Linked DNA regions of Lepisosteus oculatus. The protein of the gene in region 2 interacts with the protein of the main gene of each other region in a biochemical or structural test. Links are inferred from orthologs where the notes say so. Each region holds a gene or a part of one and is shown on either strand. Other genes may lie near its edges.

What was found.
Region 1: the proteins of raraa (region 2) and tada3l form a complex in vitro, tested with the Homo sapiens proteins (2 studies listed by BioGRID). The link is inferred for Lepisosteus oculatus from reciprocal best matches to the Homo sapiens genes RARA and TADA3.

What each region holds. Positions count from the first base shown.
Region 1 is NC_090699.1:66,539,436-66,546,609, forward strand, and holds the start of tada3l (transcriptional adapter 3), read right to left. Parts: upstream 3,130-7,174; 5' UTR 2,849-3,129; intron 2,843-2,848; exon of another isoform or gene 2,684-2,842; intron 1,254-2,683; 5' UTR 1,237-1,253; coding exon 1,027-1,236; intron 829-1,026; coding exon 472-828; intron 188-471; coding exon 55-187; intron 1-54. Other genes in the region: arpc4l (actin related protein 2/3 complex, subunit 4, like), read left to right, coding at 3,715-3,855, 5,035-5,153, 5,341-5,452, 6,047-6,142, 6,412-6,582. UniProt on the Homo sapiens protein: Functions as a component of the PCAF complex. The PCAF complex is capable of efficiently acetylating histones in a nucleosomal context. The PCAF complex could be considered as the human version of the yeast SAGA complex.
Region 2 is NC_090723.1:6,530,620-6,538,745, reverse strand, and holds the start of raraa (retinoic acid receptor alpha-A), read right to left. Parts: upstream 3,006-8,126; 5' UTR 1,714-3,005; coding exon 1,539-1,713; intron 1-1,538. UniProt on the Homo sapiens protein: Receptor for retinoic acid. Retinoic acid receptors bind as heterodimers to their target response elements in response to their ligands, all-trans or 9-cis retinoic acid, and regulate gene expression in various biological processes.

The DNA of each region.
Region 1 (7,174 bases), on a different chromosome or scaffold from region 2:
CCCAGATTGTCCCCCGTCTCCTGGACCCCCGCGCCTGGCCCTCGCCACACTCACCCTTGGCGTCCAGTTCGGACAGCGGTCCCATGATGCCCTTCTTCTTGTCGTTGGCTCTGGCCCCGTCGCGCTGCTCCTCCAGCAGGTCCTCCTGGGCCCAGCGCTGGGAATAGTGCTTCCCCAGAGCAGGGACCTACACAGACACAGGACAGCAGGCAGAGAGGGACACAGGTGAGGGACAGGCTGTACAGATCGAGCACAGGACTGCGGGGAGAGAGAGACAGACTGTACAGCAAAGGCACAGGACAGCAGGTAGAGTAGAGAGGGACTGACTGAACAGCACAGCTGCAGGACAGCAGGGAGAGAGGGACAGACTGTACAGAAAAGGCACAGGACAGCACACAGAGAGGGACAGGCTGTACAGATCGGGGGCAGGACAGCGGAGCTTCGTGGTGGTTTGTAAACAGAACTCAGTACCTTGTAGTACTCGGGCTCGTCCTCGGGGGCCTTCAGCAGGTCCTCCAGCACCCTGATCTCCTCGCTGGTGATGTCGGCGCAGTACGGCTCCACAGACGCCCAGAACCTGTTGGGGGCATCGTTCTTGGGGATGCGCGGGGTGTCCTGGGGGTCCTCGCTGAACTCGTACTCCTGGATCTTGGGTTGCAGGTTTTTCGATTTGGGCCGACCCGGGCCAGGTCCAGGCCCGTGGCCCCCTTTTCCCTCCAGCTTCTGTTTCTTGGGCTTGGAGTGTCGGGGTGCGGCCGACAGGTCTGCCTCCTTCCCCATCTTCAAGAAGCGCTTGTCCCCCTTCTTGTCCTGCCAGTCCGTCAGGATCTGAGGCAGACAGACACACGCGCAGGTGTCTGCGACAGTCAGCACAGTTTTGGGGAGCGATGGGTGTACAAGCAACTATGCTGTGATCTCTCTTTCCTGGTTAGTGTCCACACCCCTCATCTCCCCCTCCTTCACCCCCTCACCTGTCCCCTCCCCCCCACACCCCCCTACCTGTCCCCTCCCCCCGCACCCCCTCACCTGTCTCTGCTCCTCCAGGGCCCTCAGCCTGCGGCTGGCGGAGGACAGCAGCGTCTCCAGCTCCAGCTGCAGGGTGTCCAGCTCCTCGATCCCGATCCCATCGTCATCGGAGCGGCCCAGCACCGCCGTGTAGCGCGGACACACCTTGGCATGCTCCACCGGCTTGAAGTCATAGTACTGCAGCGGAGGGCAGTCCTTCAGCTCACTCATCCTCACGCCGGGCAGAGCTGTGGACACAGGTCAGGCTGTCAGTGTGCTGCAGGCTGGGCAGAGCTGAGCACACAGATCAGGCTGTCAGTGTGTTCAGGCTGGGCAGAGCTGAGCACACAGATCAGGTTGTCAGTGTGCTGCAGGCTGGGCAGAGCTGAGCACACAGATCAGGCTGTCAGTGTGTTCAGGCTGGGCAGAGCTGAGCACACAGATCAGGTTGTCAGTGTGTTCAGGCTGGGCAGAGCTGAGCACACAGATCAGGCTGTCAGTGTGCTGCAGGCTGGGCAGAGCTGAGCACACAGATCAGGCTGTCAGTGTGTTCAGGCTGGGCAGAGCTGAGCACACAGATCAGGCTGTCAGTGTGCTGCAGGCTGGGCAGAGCTGAGCACACAGATCAGGTTGTCAGTGTGTTCAGGCTGGGCAGAACTGAGCACACAGATCAGGTTGTCAGTGTGTTCAGGCTGGGCAGAGCTGAGCACACAGATCAGGCTGCCAGTGTGCTGCAGGCTGGGCAGAGCTGAGCACACAGATCAGGTTGTCAGTGTGTTCAGGCTGGGCAGAACTGAGCACACAGATCAGGTTGTCAGTGTGTTCAGGCTGGGCAGAGCTGAGCACACAGATCAGGCTGCCAGTGTGCTGCAGGCTGGGCAGAGCTGAGCACACAGATCAGGCTGCCAGTGTGCTGCAGGCTGGGCAGAGCTGAGCACACAGATCAGGCTGCCAGTGTGCTACAGGCTGCTCCAGCTCGGGAGCATGACAGGCAGAGATGTCAGATTTCAAGTGCATATGACACAGACACCTGCCTTTTAAAAGACATCCCACCCTGAACAGGGACAAAGGATTCAGGCGCAGGCCTTATTCCTGGTTCCTGGTTCAAACCCCAGCTATGCCACTGACCACTGGATCAGTGCGTTTCCCTTGCATTCCCTCCCCTCCCCGTGCGCTGTTGCTAGTAGGTGACAGCGGAGGTGGCCAGTCTTGCACACCTCGCCTGTCTAAACCGCTCGGCACAACAGCGTCCGGACAAAGCTCGTCTTACACACAAAACATGACGTCACCAACGAGCGACACCAGCAGCAATACAGCACAGTAACAGTGACAACAAAACACGAGTTACAACGACAGATGTTTAAACGAGACAGACACAAGCAATGTCAGGCAGCCAGAATCGTCGTGCGCCTCGTGAAACTTGACTTCCAAAGGCTTTTATCTCCGGTAGGAGAGACGGATCTGCCCGCCCCGCAACCAGACTGCTCCGTGCATGAGCGTAACCTCGGCACGGTCTTGTTTTCATAAACGTTTAAGAAGCCCCACTGCTTTCAAACCCCGCCGTAAGTGCAGCGGGCGGCTCTTACTCTCCCTCGCAGTGCCGTGCAGTGGCAGGTCTTACACGCAACGAGAGAGAACAACATCCTCAGGCGAAGGGACCCTGTCCATTGATACGTACGCGCACACCGCACAACGCTGACTGCGCCCTCCAGCCTCCGCCACCTCAAGGAGCATTTTCACACGGCGGCTCTGTTCATCTAGGCGAATGCCAGATTAGGCAGCTTCTGTTTATTCCTCCCAGAACATTACACGTACGCGTTTTGCTCTCTGGTTGCAGACTTACCATTGATAAGACGCTAAAGCAGAACGGACAGCTTTAGTCCTGCAGCGCAGCTTCCATTGCTGACTCTACCATTCAGGGCTACAGAGGGGTGCGCGACACACTCTGTTCACCTTCACGACTAAACATTTCTTTCCGAAATCCAATCTGACGTGAAGTATATGTTTAACAGTGTCTACAACAACTTAGAGAATTTTCGGGTTGAGTTATTGCGCGTATGAAACATGTACTAGACTCCCTTGACCACCGCGCCAACCCCGTCTCCTGAGCCTGATTGAACAAACTGTCTCTTGCAAGATGGTTTCTCCCTGAAGACGACACCACCAGAGAGGGGTTTATTCTTAGAATTACAACGTTTAATGTGGCGACGAGATGATAATTGAAGATAAAAATGAAATAAAAGATTTAAATAAAAAATATTTTATTTGAAGTTGCACTCGTTTTCTTCTGTTTGTTTTGCTGCAGATCACAGCAGACTCCAGCTAGTCGAAAACTCCCCCCCCACATTCAGCCAGCCAGTCTGAAGTCCCACGTTGCCTTTTATGGAAGAAAATCTCTGCCTAAACCAAATTGAAGGTGGGGGTGGGAGGAAGAGATTTTTTGTGGAAATAGGTGGAAAAGAAAGACAACATAGATTATTTAAAATAACATCAGCAGATTTAGTAGTTCTTGTTTCTGAATTTCTAATCATAATAACTCGAGCTAGAGACGGTGAACGTAATACCAGTCGTACCGTTCCGGAAAGATGCTGTGCTATATCAGAGCACTAAGAGAGATTGCCTCTTGCATGGTCTGTTTCAAACGCCTAGTCTTTATAAAGGTATTTGGCTGTACAAGATAGTGGAAAATGAAAAGTAGCGCACAAAGAAATGGCACTATTCAGTTACTTGCACACACCCTTAAGATGTGGGAATGGTACATCCCAGCCAGCCGAGCAGCGCTCGCGGAAGAGCCGCCGTGCGCACGCGCTCCGAGCACTTCCGTCTTGTTCCCCAGAGGAAGCAGAAATGGTAAGACAGGGTAGCGTTTCTGGATATTAACATCAATAATTAAGACAATTAACTACTGGTAAATAGGTTAGTGGGCTGCTATGGTTTGTGCGCGGGGTCTTAGATGGGGTGCGGTGCCCTGGGAGTCTCTGCGAGAGGCTCCTGGCTGGGGCTGCCGACGGCCGCGGTAGGTGTGCCTGGGATCCCCACCCAAATTTCGGAGCCCGGCCGCCGACAGCCTGCAGCCGCTCCGCCCGGTGCCCCCGGCGGGTGGGGAGGGCGCCGAGCCGGCTCAGGTGCTGGATGGCACCAGGCAGTGCAGGGCAGAAAGTGGCGTGTGAAGCGTCATTTCAAGGCGGTTGCAGGGGTTTTATTTTCGTGTGGTGTGTGCGGCTTCCTGTCAAAATGACGTGTTGGAAGTGACCGACTCTCGGCACCCCGGGTACCCCCCTGTTTGCGTGCCGCTTCGCTCGTGCACAGGCGTCTCTGCGCGTCCGGGCACGGGAGGCTCGCGCTGCTGGAATTCACTGTTGCCATGGAGATCCCCACCGCACGCCCGGGCTTGCGGGGCTGAGGGTGGGGGGGGCGGGAGGAATGCGGGCCCGCAGGGCTCTGTCCGCCCAGACCCAGACCCAGACCCGCGGGGCCGAGGCTCTGAAATTCTCCGGCCGGTGCGCTCTGGCTCTGTCGCACTGGGGCCTGGTCAGTACCTGGATGGGAGTCTCCTGGGAGAGCTGAGGCTGCTGCTGCAAGAGGTGTCAGTGGGGCCAGTAGGGGGCGCTCTCACCCTGCGGTCTGTGTGGGTCCTAATGCCCCAGTGTAGTGACGGGGACACTATACTGTAAAAAGGCGCTGTCCTTCAGATGAGACGTAAAACCGAGGTCCTGACTCTCTGTGGTCATTAAAAATCCCAGGGCGTCTCTCGAAAAGAGTAGGGGTGTCACCCCAGTGTCCTGGTCAAATTTCCCCCCTGGCCTTTACCAGTCATGGCCTCCTACTAACCCCCCATCTCTGAACTGGCTTCATCCCTCTGCTCTCCTCCCCACTGAGAGCTGGTGTGTGTGAGAGGACTGGTGCATCATCCAGGTGGGGCTGCACACTGGTGGGGGTGGAGGGGATCCCCCTTACCTGTAAAGAGCTCTGAGTGGAGGGTCCAGAAAGGCGCTATATAATGTAAAGAACTGCTCTTTTCCTCCACAGACAGCGACTCTGCGGCCCTACCTGAACGCCGTGCGCGCCACGCTGCAGGCCGCCCTCTGTCTGGAGAACTTCTCCTCCCAGGTGGTGGAGAGACACAACAAGCCAGAGGTTGAAGTCCGGTGAGTCTGAGCCGGACGCGGGTTCGAGGCTCTCCTATTCTCGGGGTGACCTGCCCCCCTCCCTCTCTCAGCCCTTCCTCTGCTGGGATTGGCCCTCAGCCTCTCTGCCAAACAGGCAGGCGCATGGTCAGCTCTGCTCTGAGTCCTCCTGGGGTCCTAACGTGTTCTCTCATCTCTCTCTCTCCAGGAGCAGTAAGGAGTTGCTGCTGCAGCCGGTCATCATCAGCCGCAATGAGAAGGAGAAGGTTCTGATCGAGGGCTCCATCAACTCCGTGCGCGTCAGCATCGCTGTCAAACAGGTCGCTGAGGGGGCGTGGCCGTGCGTGTGCCGTGCTGTGGTTGGCTGAGGCCGTGGGCGGGGCTCGTGTCCCAGGTCGAGAGACTGGAAAACCAGCCGGTCTTAGTCGGGTGTTTTAGAGGCTGATATTCACACCACTGATGAGGCAGAAAGCAGAAGTCATGAGTACATGTTTCTCTGTGTCAGTGTCATACTGGAAATATACAGCACTGATCTTAACTTGTTTAAGAGTGTCCAGATGATGGGACCTGAAAAATATAATTACTTTGCAGTGGGCAGAGTGATCTCTTCCTGGAACCGTCAAGTAATTGTGCAGGTGATTGGTCAGGAATTCAGAATGACCTTCTCTGTGATTGGTAGATGCCTTAGTTACCTGGCTTGTGATTGGTCGAGAGAATGAAAAAGGCTGCTCTGTGATTTTAGAGGCAGCCTGACTGCTCTCTCTGGTGCAGCGCAGGACCGCTCTGACAGAGGAGTGGCTTGAAGGGCTGCAGGTGGCGTTAGCAGTGCGACAGGTGGAGGGCCGAGGAGGAGACTCTGACTGGACTGGGGTTGAACAGGGCTGGGCTGACGGCGCTGTGATGTGTCCCCACAGGCCGATGAGATTGAGAAGATCCTGTGCCACAAGTTCATGCGCTTCATGATGATGAGAGCGGAGAACTTCTTCATCCTGCGGAGGAAACCCGTGGAGGTAAGAGGGGGATTCGGGAAGACGAGATCTCGCCTCTTCGGCAATAACTTATTAATCTCGGGATCTCATCTGGCAGGCGTTTGTCCAGTCTTGAATCATGTGTAAGTCCGTAGAAGCAGCAAATCAAATTTAAAAAAGCATTTTCTCAATCCTCCAATTTGGGGTCATCTGCAAACTTCACTAGTTCTTTCACTATACCAGCGTCTAGTTCACTGGTGTACATACACTCATCCTGTCTGTCACGGTCGCTCTCTTTCTCCTGACTCCAGGGCTACGACATCAGCTTCCTGATCACAAACTTCCACACGGAGCAGATGTACAAGCACAAGCTGGTGGACTTCGTCATCCACTTCATGGAGGAGATCGACAAGGAGATCAGTGAGATGAAGCTGTCCGTCAACGCCCGCGCCCGCATCGTGGCTGAGGAGTTCCTCAAGAACGTACGTGCCTTTCGGGGAGTTTGCCTCATCAGCTTAGTTCAAAGCTTCGGTTTCTCTGCACCAGCTGTTCAGATGTTGTAACAGGACAGAGTGGTGTTAGACGTAGCGCAGTGGTACCGGCCTGCAGAGCTGCAGGAATGGCTGTGAAAAATAACATCCGTGTTGCATTTCCTGGCTACGTTCCTACACTCCGTTAAAACACTGAAGCACAGGAATGGACGGGAAGGCCAGGAGGGCGGATGGGGCTGCAGAGTCTCGGGCTCTGCTGCACGTGCTGACTGCAGCCCCGAGCACCGTGGCCAGGACGTCCCACACCTGGGAAAAACCCTCCCCCGTAGATGCACTCTTAGTTTCGAGAGGAAGGATGCAGTAAGTTCTGACTAGTGCAGGTCCGGATAATATCCAAGTTTCTTAAGGGAAATGTATTAATTTACTGGTAGCACATGTGACTGAGAAGCAGAAAGCTCTGAGCTGTTTTTTGTCTTTGGACATTGCAGCGTGAATAATTTTCTATTAAAATGTGAAACGTTTGTTCCTGTCGGCATCGGCGGTGCTGTCAATGTGTTTTCAATCCTGATCTGTTCGTCTTGCA
Region 2 (8,126 bases):
CAACAGGCTCCCGATGTCGCCTTCCCCGGAGGTGCAGCACGTCGCGCAGCCTTAGTCCGGCGATTTCTACTGTCCCTTCTTCCGCTTCTTATAGGGCTTATATGCACAAATGATCACCAGAATTCAGTTATTAGAAAAGTCTAATGAAAATATCAGATAAAATAGCGGGCGACCCCGAAACACGATCCAACGAATGTCCCTCCTGACTCTGGACACGACGGTTTGACGACACGGACCGATTATGGGTCTTTGAGTGCAAAAACGACAACGATGATGACCTTTTCTTCTTGTCTTCTGTCGAGTACAAACTTCGTATTCGACAGCAGCGTTTAGATATAACGCTTTTTTTTACAAAAAAAAATCGTGAACGATCGGTTTAGAAATGATGACATCCCCGTCGCCCTGTCTACCTTCGTTAAACCACGAAAGGCGCGTCGTTCAATACGCTAGTTTGGCACAAACTGCGATGACTAACGATTTAGGGAGGAAAAATTCTTTCCTGCGTCCGGAAGAAACAAGTTTCGGAAAGGGACTAGAAACAGAAAATCTGTTTCCAAAAAAAAACTCGCTTACCAACAGCTGCTCGGCCCATAATTGTTCTTACTTGGCATTCAACCGGTTTTAAAAAGCCCTGCACTTAAATTCAAATATACATTTACTGTGCCGCGCAATTCTAAAGATTTTCGCCTTCTTAAGCACAGCAAGTACCCACAAAAACAGTCAATCTGTGGAAATGTAAAAGCAGCGCGTCCTGTATTATCCACAAAAACCTCCGTTACAATGCAATTTAACAAAGGTGCCTCCGCAAATGAGCTCAGTGTCCTATGCATTGAAACACAGCATTGCAAGCACGTTTCTGTTCGCTCTTTTGGAAATGTTACTGCACAGTTACTGTTACAACTCGCTACATGTACTGTAGGCCGGGAAAAAAAAGACAAAACCCGTAGTCGCGTATGTAGAGCGCCGGGCTGGCCGGGGGCTACAGCGGTAAAGCCCTCTGTAATGGTGATTACTACAGCCGTCCAAACGGTTTGTGCTTGAAGCACAACCATCGAGAGGGTATAGATGCAATAAGCTATTGACCAAATAAAACATGTTTAGGTGAAAACACACAGAGGAGGTGTAGCAAACGCGCACGCAAGGGTCTCCACGTTCACACGGCGAGGAAAGCCGGCAGACGCCGAGGTGGTTTAACAGAAGCCAACACGCTAGTAAGGAGCTCGTTCGGAAAGGACAACATGAGACATTGCAAGCGAAACACAAACACCGAGAAGGTCACTCAAGCAGCGCCTTAAATCACAGCACCTGCGCTCGCTCTCTCTCTCACACACAATCGGGGCCGCGCTAATTTAAACTCGTTGACGAGCCTGCCGTAATTACACGAAGCGGCCGGGATACAGATCGATCCAGACCAGTGAAATTGCACCGTAGGCGGAAGCCCACAGAACGCGAGTTGGGCTACACGTAACACGCGATCGCTCAGACACATGTCCCCCGAAGTGAAACATTGTAACCCAGGAGCAGAAATGTCCACCTACAGTGATTGGAGCCGGTCCAGTGCTGGTTTCTGATGGAGCTGCCGTAAGGGTGGTGCGATCCGGCCACGATCGTCTTTTCCTGGATTAAACATCCTCGGTTCTGGTTGTAGTAATCCACCATTAGGAACGGGTTCGGACTGGGATTTAACCCCACCACGTCCACACTCTCATACATGATGCGTGTTGGCGACTCCAAAAAAAATAAAAATAAAAAAAAACCCGATTGAAAGTAATATCCCAACAACAACAACAAAATCTTCTCTCGGTGGCAGGAGCAACAAGAACTACTCGCACAACTTCTTCTGATTAGCTGTCAAACAACATCTTAGAGGTAGTGACTGTGGGAGATCTCCCCCCCCACCCCACCCAGCCTTGCTGGGGGAAAAAAAAAAGTTTGGCTGTACTGATGATTTGATCTTTTAGAGAGAAAAAAAAACAAACAGCAAAGTTCCGTCCCAGCAAGAAGACCAATCACTGTGGTTGTGGATGAAGTAACGGGCAGTGATTTCAGTGTGGGGTCTGGGTGCAGCAGCTAACTAAGTGGGTCTCCCCGCATGGTCCGAGAACAACTTCATTTGCGGTTTTTGTGCGTGGAAGCGCTGGCTGGAGAGGCGGCGATTCGCATGCTGGCGCGTCTCCCCCTCCGTGTGCTCCCGAGCGGGCCCCGGGCTGCGCTCCCTGCTCCAGACGGGTCCCGCGGTGCCAACTTTTCTCCCGCACCCCGCCACAAAACTGTTTATTTAAAAAAAAAAACTCCACAAAACTGGAGAAGGTAGGCAAGAAGGGAGGCAAAAAAAAAAACTGAAGTTTTTTCTTTAAAAAAAAAATACCGCGACACCCACACGCCAAAAAAACAGCCCAGCTACGCCGGTACAAATCCCGCACGGAACAGGCTGGCGTCGTCAGCCGCTCTCCCCGTACAGGCGCGACATCTTCACGGGCAAGGAGGAGCGCGTCCTCACCTCCACAGCGCAAACGGACCGGACCGGACCACCCTCGTCCTCCTGCCTCGGTGGCTACAGTCTCCTCTTGCCCTGCGACGCTTGCGGTCGACACCGACTGGGGGCAGGCAGGCACGGAGGGAGGGAGGGCGATGGAGTGGAGGAGGGGGGCACTCTTTTTTCAATTTCCTTCCACCACATCGGGGGGGGGGGGAGACCCTCCCCTCCCCAAACAAAACAAAATAAAATAATTTTAAATCCAGCCGAGCGCCTCGGATGTGTCGAGGCGAGAGGCGCGGAAGCTGTGTTTCGCTGGCGTCGCAGATTTCGCGTTTTTAATCCCCCCCGTTTCGCGTGACTCGATCCGTCTCCCCCCCCCCGACTCCGTGTTTATTGCTGTCGTGCGGGGATCTCTCTCCTCTCTCACGCCAAGTCTGTTCCCAGGCAGGGTACCCGCTTGCCCTGCGCCGCAGATTGTGACGGCAGCGAGCAACTGCGACCGGACCCCACCTACCTCCTCTCTCCCTCCCTCTCTCTCCGCTCTCTCTCTCCCTCCAGAGCGCCTCCCCGACTTAACCCTTTCCGGACTCCCGCAGTCACACAGCCCCAGGACCCGGGCCAAACCGCCCGCTCTCTCGGTACAAGCCGCAAACCCAGCGGCTCGGTGGTGATGGTGGAGGGGTGTGTGTGTGTGGTTGAGGGAGGGGAAGAGGATTAACACTTGTCGGTTCGAAATCAAAATAGGGGAGGAGGAGGAGGAGGAGGAGGTGGTGGTGGTCGTCTGAAACAATTTTAAAAAGCAAACTAAAACCGCGCCGCCGCAGTTTTAGGGACATAATAAACACGCACACACACCCCTCCACCCCAACAGGAATGCCTCTCTCGTACAGCACTAAGTGACGCCTCCTCTTCCACCCACGAGCCCAGCTCCCACGCCGTGACGCGGAAGACCCCCTTTTCCCATCGTCCCCTTTTTCTCGCAGGTTTCCCGGTCTCCCCCCGGACTAATTTGCCTAATGTTATGCGGGTGAACTTTTCCTGAACCCGCGGAAGCCGGCCGCCTCACCTCCGGGTGACCCACACGCCGACTCCGGCGCGCTCCTCCGCGTTCCTGTCGCTGACGTCACTCGAGGTTCCCCCACCTGGCCGCTCGTGCGCATTGGCACGCGGAGTCCCCGAAAAGTCCCACCGACTCGCAGGTGGGAGGGAGCTGGTCTGAGAACCGCACAGCACCCAGGCCGACGTTGACCAAAACGCGCACAGTTAAATCTTTCATCTCGCATCGCGCTTCCACACAGCGGAGGCCGCGCACGATGAGCTTAAGAGCGACGGCCTTTCCCCCAGACTTTGAAAAAGTTTGCAAGTTTTCTGTATTTGCAAAACGCCACTTAAAAATAAATAAATAAATAAATAAATAAATAAATAAATAAATGGTTCAGATTGAGAGTCTTTGTTCATGACAGAAAAGAAGTCACTTGTTGAAAGCATGGTCACACACACAGCCTGGCAGATCTAATACTCAAGAATATCATTAGACTGCAATTCCGTGAGGACTAATAGGATCTAGATAGATAATGCCGCACAGTGCCGTGACAGTGAATACGACAGTCACGAGCAATGCAATGGACTTGTTTAGTGCCCTGCAAATTCAGACCAGGTCAGAACAAATGGCCTGTGTCCCTCACAGAGAGCTCTACGGATGGGGATGCACTAGTGTATTATTTATGGTACATTTTGAGGCTGTAATCAGTGTTTTTTCCCAGGGCAAAGTGGACTGATCGGACAGCAGTCGGTCAGTCAGAGGGAACGAGGCCATCTGGAGTGGAAGCAGCCATGTTCTGTGCAGAGGCCCGGGCAGCACGGGGGAAATCCCAGGAAAGCTCCCAGCGGAGCCGAGCCTCGGGCCCGGAGCCTGCCCAGCCTGCCGGGCAGTTCGGAGCTCCGACTGGAGGGCATTCCCCAGGACTCTGCAGGGGAAGGCCTGCTGGGGCCTTGGCAGCAAACTGTGACACTAATTTAACACCAGGGCTTAAACTGTTTACTTTTACTGATAAGGACAGCAGGCGGGGGGGAGGGGAGGCTGAGCTCTGTGCTCTGTGCCATTGGAGTCCATTTCAGAGGAGATTCCAGAGAAGGGACGCCAGGACCAGCGGGACCGGGCGAAGGAAGACTGCAGTGGACATGGCCAGCCCATGCAGGAACGGCTCCCTTCAGATCCCTCCGCTGCAGGGCTACGCTGACTGTGCACAAATGCGCTGGCACAGGACCCATCTGCCTTTCCTGCTTGCCAGTTAACTGCCTGATATCTGTCATTAATGCCCCGTTATGTGCATAAGGGCCTGCTGCAACAGCACCAAAAGGTCAGGAATGACAGCCTCCCCGTTTGAAGGCTGTCTGCGATTGTGAGTAACCTCTGCATGCGGTATGAACTTGGGAAATTAACTACAACATGACTAATTATTCCAGGTCTGGAGGAGAGTCAAAAGAAATGGGGGAGGCCTGCGTTTCCAGCACCAGGATGTTGTACTTGAGGACTTACGTCAGCCGCTGAAGAATGAGTCCCTGGAAGGACCCCAGGCGACACTGACATTCTGTACTGGGAGCCTGGTTTTGCTGGTACAGCCTTCAAATGCTCTGTCATTAAAAGACCTCAGCGCTGCCATATTGGTGAGCCAGTAATTACTTCGAGAGCCACATAATTGAGTGCCACAGCGAAGACACTGAAAAGGAGCTTGCCGGAGAGCCAGAGGTTAAGGGCATGTGGCCTGTGGGCCTGGCAGGAGCCAGCAGCTGCCCAGGAATGCCAGACCTGTGATGGGTGCCAGACTGCCCTCCGTGGGGTTGAGCGAAAGCAAGCCTGCCTGCGCACACACAGTGAGTGGCGGTGGGGCAGGACCCTGGGTCTTTGGGAGGTGAGCAGGAATAATGAAAAGCAGATAATGAGGGTTAGGTTCAGACCAGACTGGGGCTGGGAATTCAGGGAGGTTTATGAGAGGGCAGTGCGGAGGACATCCTGCCTGGATCTTTAGGGTGCGAAAGTATTTTTATTGCCCCCCCCTCCAATCAGAGGTGTTAGGGGGGCAATAAAGATTAGACACTGCCACCAATTTACCCCCAGCCCCCCCGCCAGTGAAGACAGCTGTGCCACAACACCCTATTGTTACAGCGATGCCACCCACTGCCGAGCTGTGAGCCTCTCCAAGATCTTCCGCATCACCTGTTTGCCAAACAGAGACTGAAAGTTTAATGGTGGCTTTCATGGCAAGGGGAGATGGGAAGGTCCTGGCGCAAGTGTCTCCAGCCAGTGTGCAGTCGGCAAGCATGCAAATTACCAAGCAACGGAGCTATCCTGCGTTACATCTTGCACGAGGTGAATCTGGAGTGGCCCCACCACCCTGTCACCTTCTCTGCACCGGCGTAATACTCCCTTCTTCCTGGCGACCTGGCCCCTGTGCGAAATGCCTGCACTCACGCCCTCCTCTGGCCTCTCAGAGCTCACTCGTTTGTTGCCTTGCAAGCTTGTCCGCCGTCATCAGTCCCAGAAGAGCTCACGTCCCGTCGGTGCCCCGCCCCCACGGGAGAGCAGCGACAACGGGGAGAGAGTCATTCCTCCCACATCAGTCAGCCATCACTCCTCAAGGGGGCGTCTGAACGGAGCCCAGGGCTGAAGCCTGGGCAGCAGTCGGGGGGAAAGGTGCGAGCAGCACGCCAGGGCAGAGGAACTCTGGGACACAGATTCCTGAGCTCTTTTTAGATCTTAATAAGCAAAACCAACATGGCTGCCATGGCTGTGGTTCTTAGAAGCCGTAGAACTTGGGGAGGTTCCTGTGCGTCACACTACACAGCGCAGCTCTCCGTATTCAGACTATCTTAGGATTGGTCTCGTCTCTGTGGCTAAGGATCTGTGCCTACAAGGTTGCCGGTTCATATCCCGCGGCCGGCAGAGGAATCCTACTCCGTTGGGCTCCTGAGCAAGGCCCTTCACCCCAGCTGCTCCAGAGGTGCTGTACAATGGCTGACCCTGCGCTCTGACCCCAAGCTTCTCCCTGTCTGTGTGTCTGTCCCCATGGAGAAAAGCTGGGGTCTGCGAAAAGATTAATTCCTAATGCAAGAAATTGTATAGGGCTAATAAAGTGATGTTGTTGTTGTTGAAGCGCTCGCACTGTGCTCCCGTGTTCAGTATAATAGTAACAATTCTATGACTGGAGCCTAGAAGCTGTGCTTTACGTGTTGAATTAGATCGCCAGCCAGACTTTCCGTTTAATTTTCTGGTTTCCTTACAGCCCGACAGCTGGTCGCCTCCGACATCCAGAGCGAGATAAGACCCCGGCGAAGCGGGCAACTGCTGAATCTTGCGCAAGATCTAATGAGATCAGTGCAGGGCTGCAGGGAACCGAACAGCAAGGGGGCAGCCAGCCAGGGAGCGGCCCTTATCCACGCTCGAGAGACTCTGCAGCAGGCAGGAGAGTAAACACCTTCAGCCGACTCTGTGCTCATTCCATCTGCGGTGAGCTGAAGCGTTCCAAGCAGTGCCGGATCTTATTCCCGTGATGCCACAGTAAAAAAATATATATATATATCTGCCTGCCCGCATTTCTGCTCAGCAGAATTCCAAGAATCCAGCTGGCACCTCCGCCTTCCTCATTCCACAGCGCCGAGCGACACAGCGCTCTTAAAGACACAGAGTGTGCTCACCCACGTCCACGGCTCTCCCCACTTCCCTTCCCAGCAGACGTGCGCCGATACCCCTGCTGCTGTCGATGCCGCGCGGCTGGATCTGTCTAGGTTGCCATCTTGGCATGCAAACGAGCTAAACCAACCAGCCAACAGCCTTTGCAAAGGCCACCCGGTACACTTGTAGGTGCACGGTAGAGGCTGCAATGGAGCTGAGGGCGTAGTGTGGCGCACAGGATCTTCCCCAGCTCACCTCTCTGTGTTCAGACTGTCTTAGGTTTGGTCTTGTGTCTGCGGCTTTTGTCATTCACCCTGCCCAAAGCGCTCGCACTGTGCTCCTGTGTTCAGTATAATAAGAAGAATAATAATTTTATTATCAGCACCGCTCTCTATCGATTCGGAATGACCCGCTCTTGGTCAATCCCTTGTAGGGGCACTGGGGAGATGAAGACAACTTGCAGGCTGCTGCAGGGATGTGCTCTGTCATGTCAGGCCGCAATGCCAAGATGCAAGAATACAGCGCTTCACTCACATAACAGTGCAGGCGCACCTGGGGATAGGCAAACAGCAGGGGTCTCTGCTGTGCACAAAGTAAAAAAAAAACCGAACCCCACAAGTCCCCAAGGTGCTTGGGCAATCGGGCTACAGCCTGGCAAATCCCAGCCAGGTCTGACTAAGCACAGAGATCGGGCCTGAACCAGCAATTCCTGTACCACTATAACACAGGTCCTTTATATTCTCAGCTTTTCCGCTGGATCTGCAGTCAGCCTACTTTAAGAGCTCAGAAAAGATAGATATTCAAAAACACACTCTCAGCTATGACCCTCCTAATGTTCCAATACTTTTAAGAAGTGTAGGTGTTAAGGGAGGGGGCAGGAAACACTGTCCTCAAATCAAAGTCAGGCTCGTGTGGGTAATTGACATGAAAAAAGTGCATAACAAGTATGTTGTGTGCCTCCAGCAAGCACCAAGA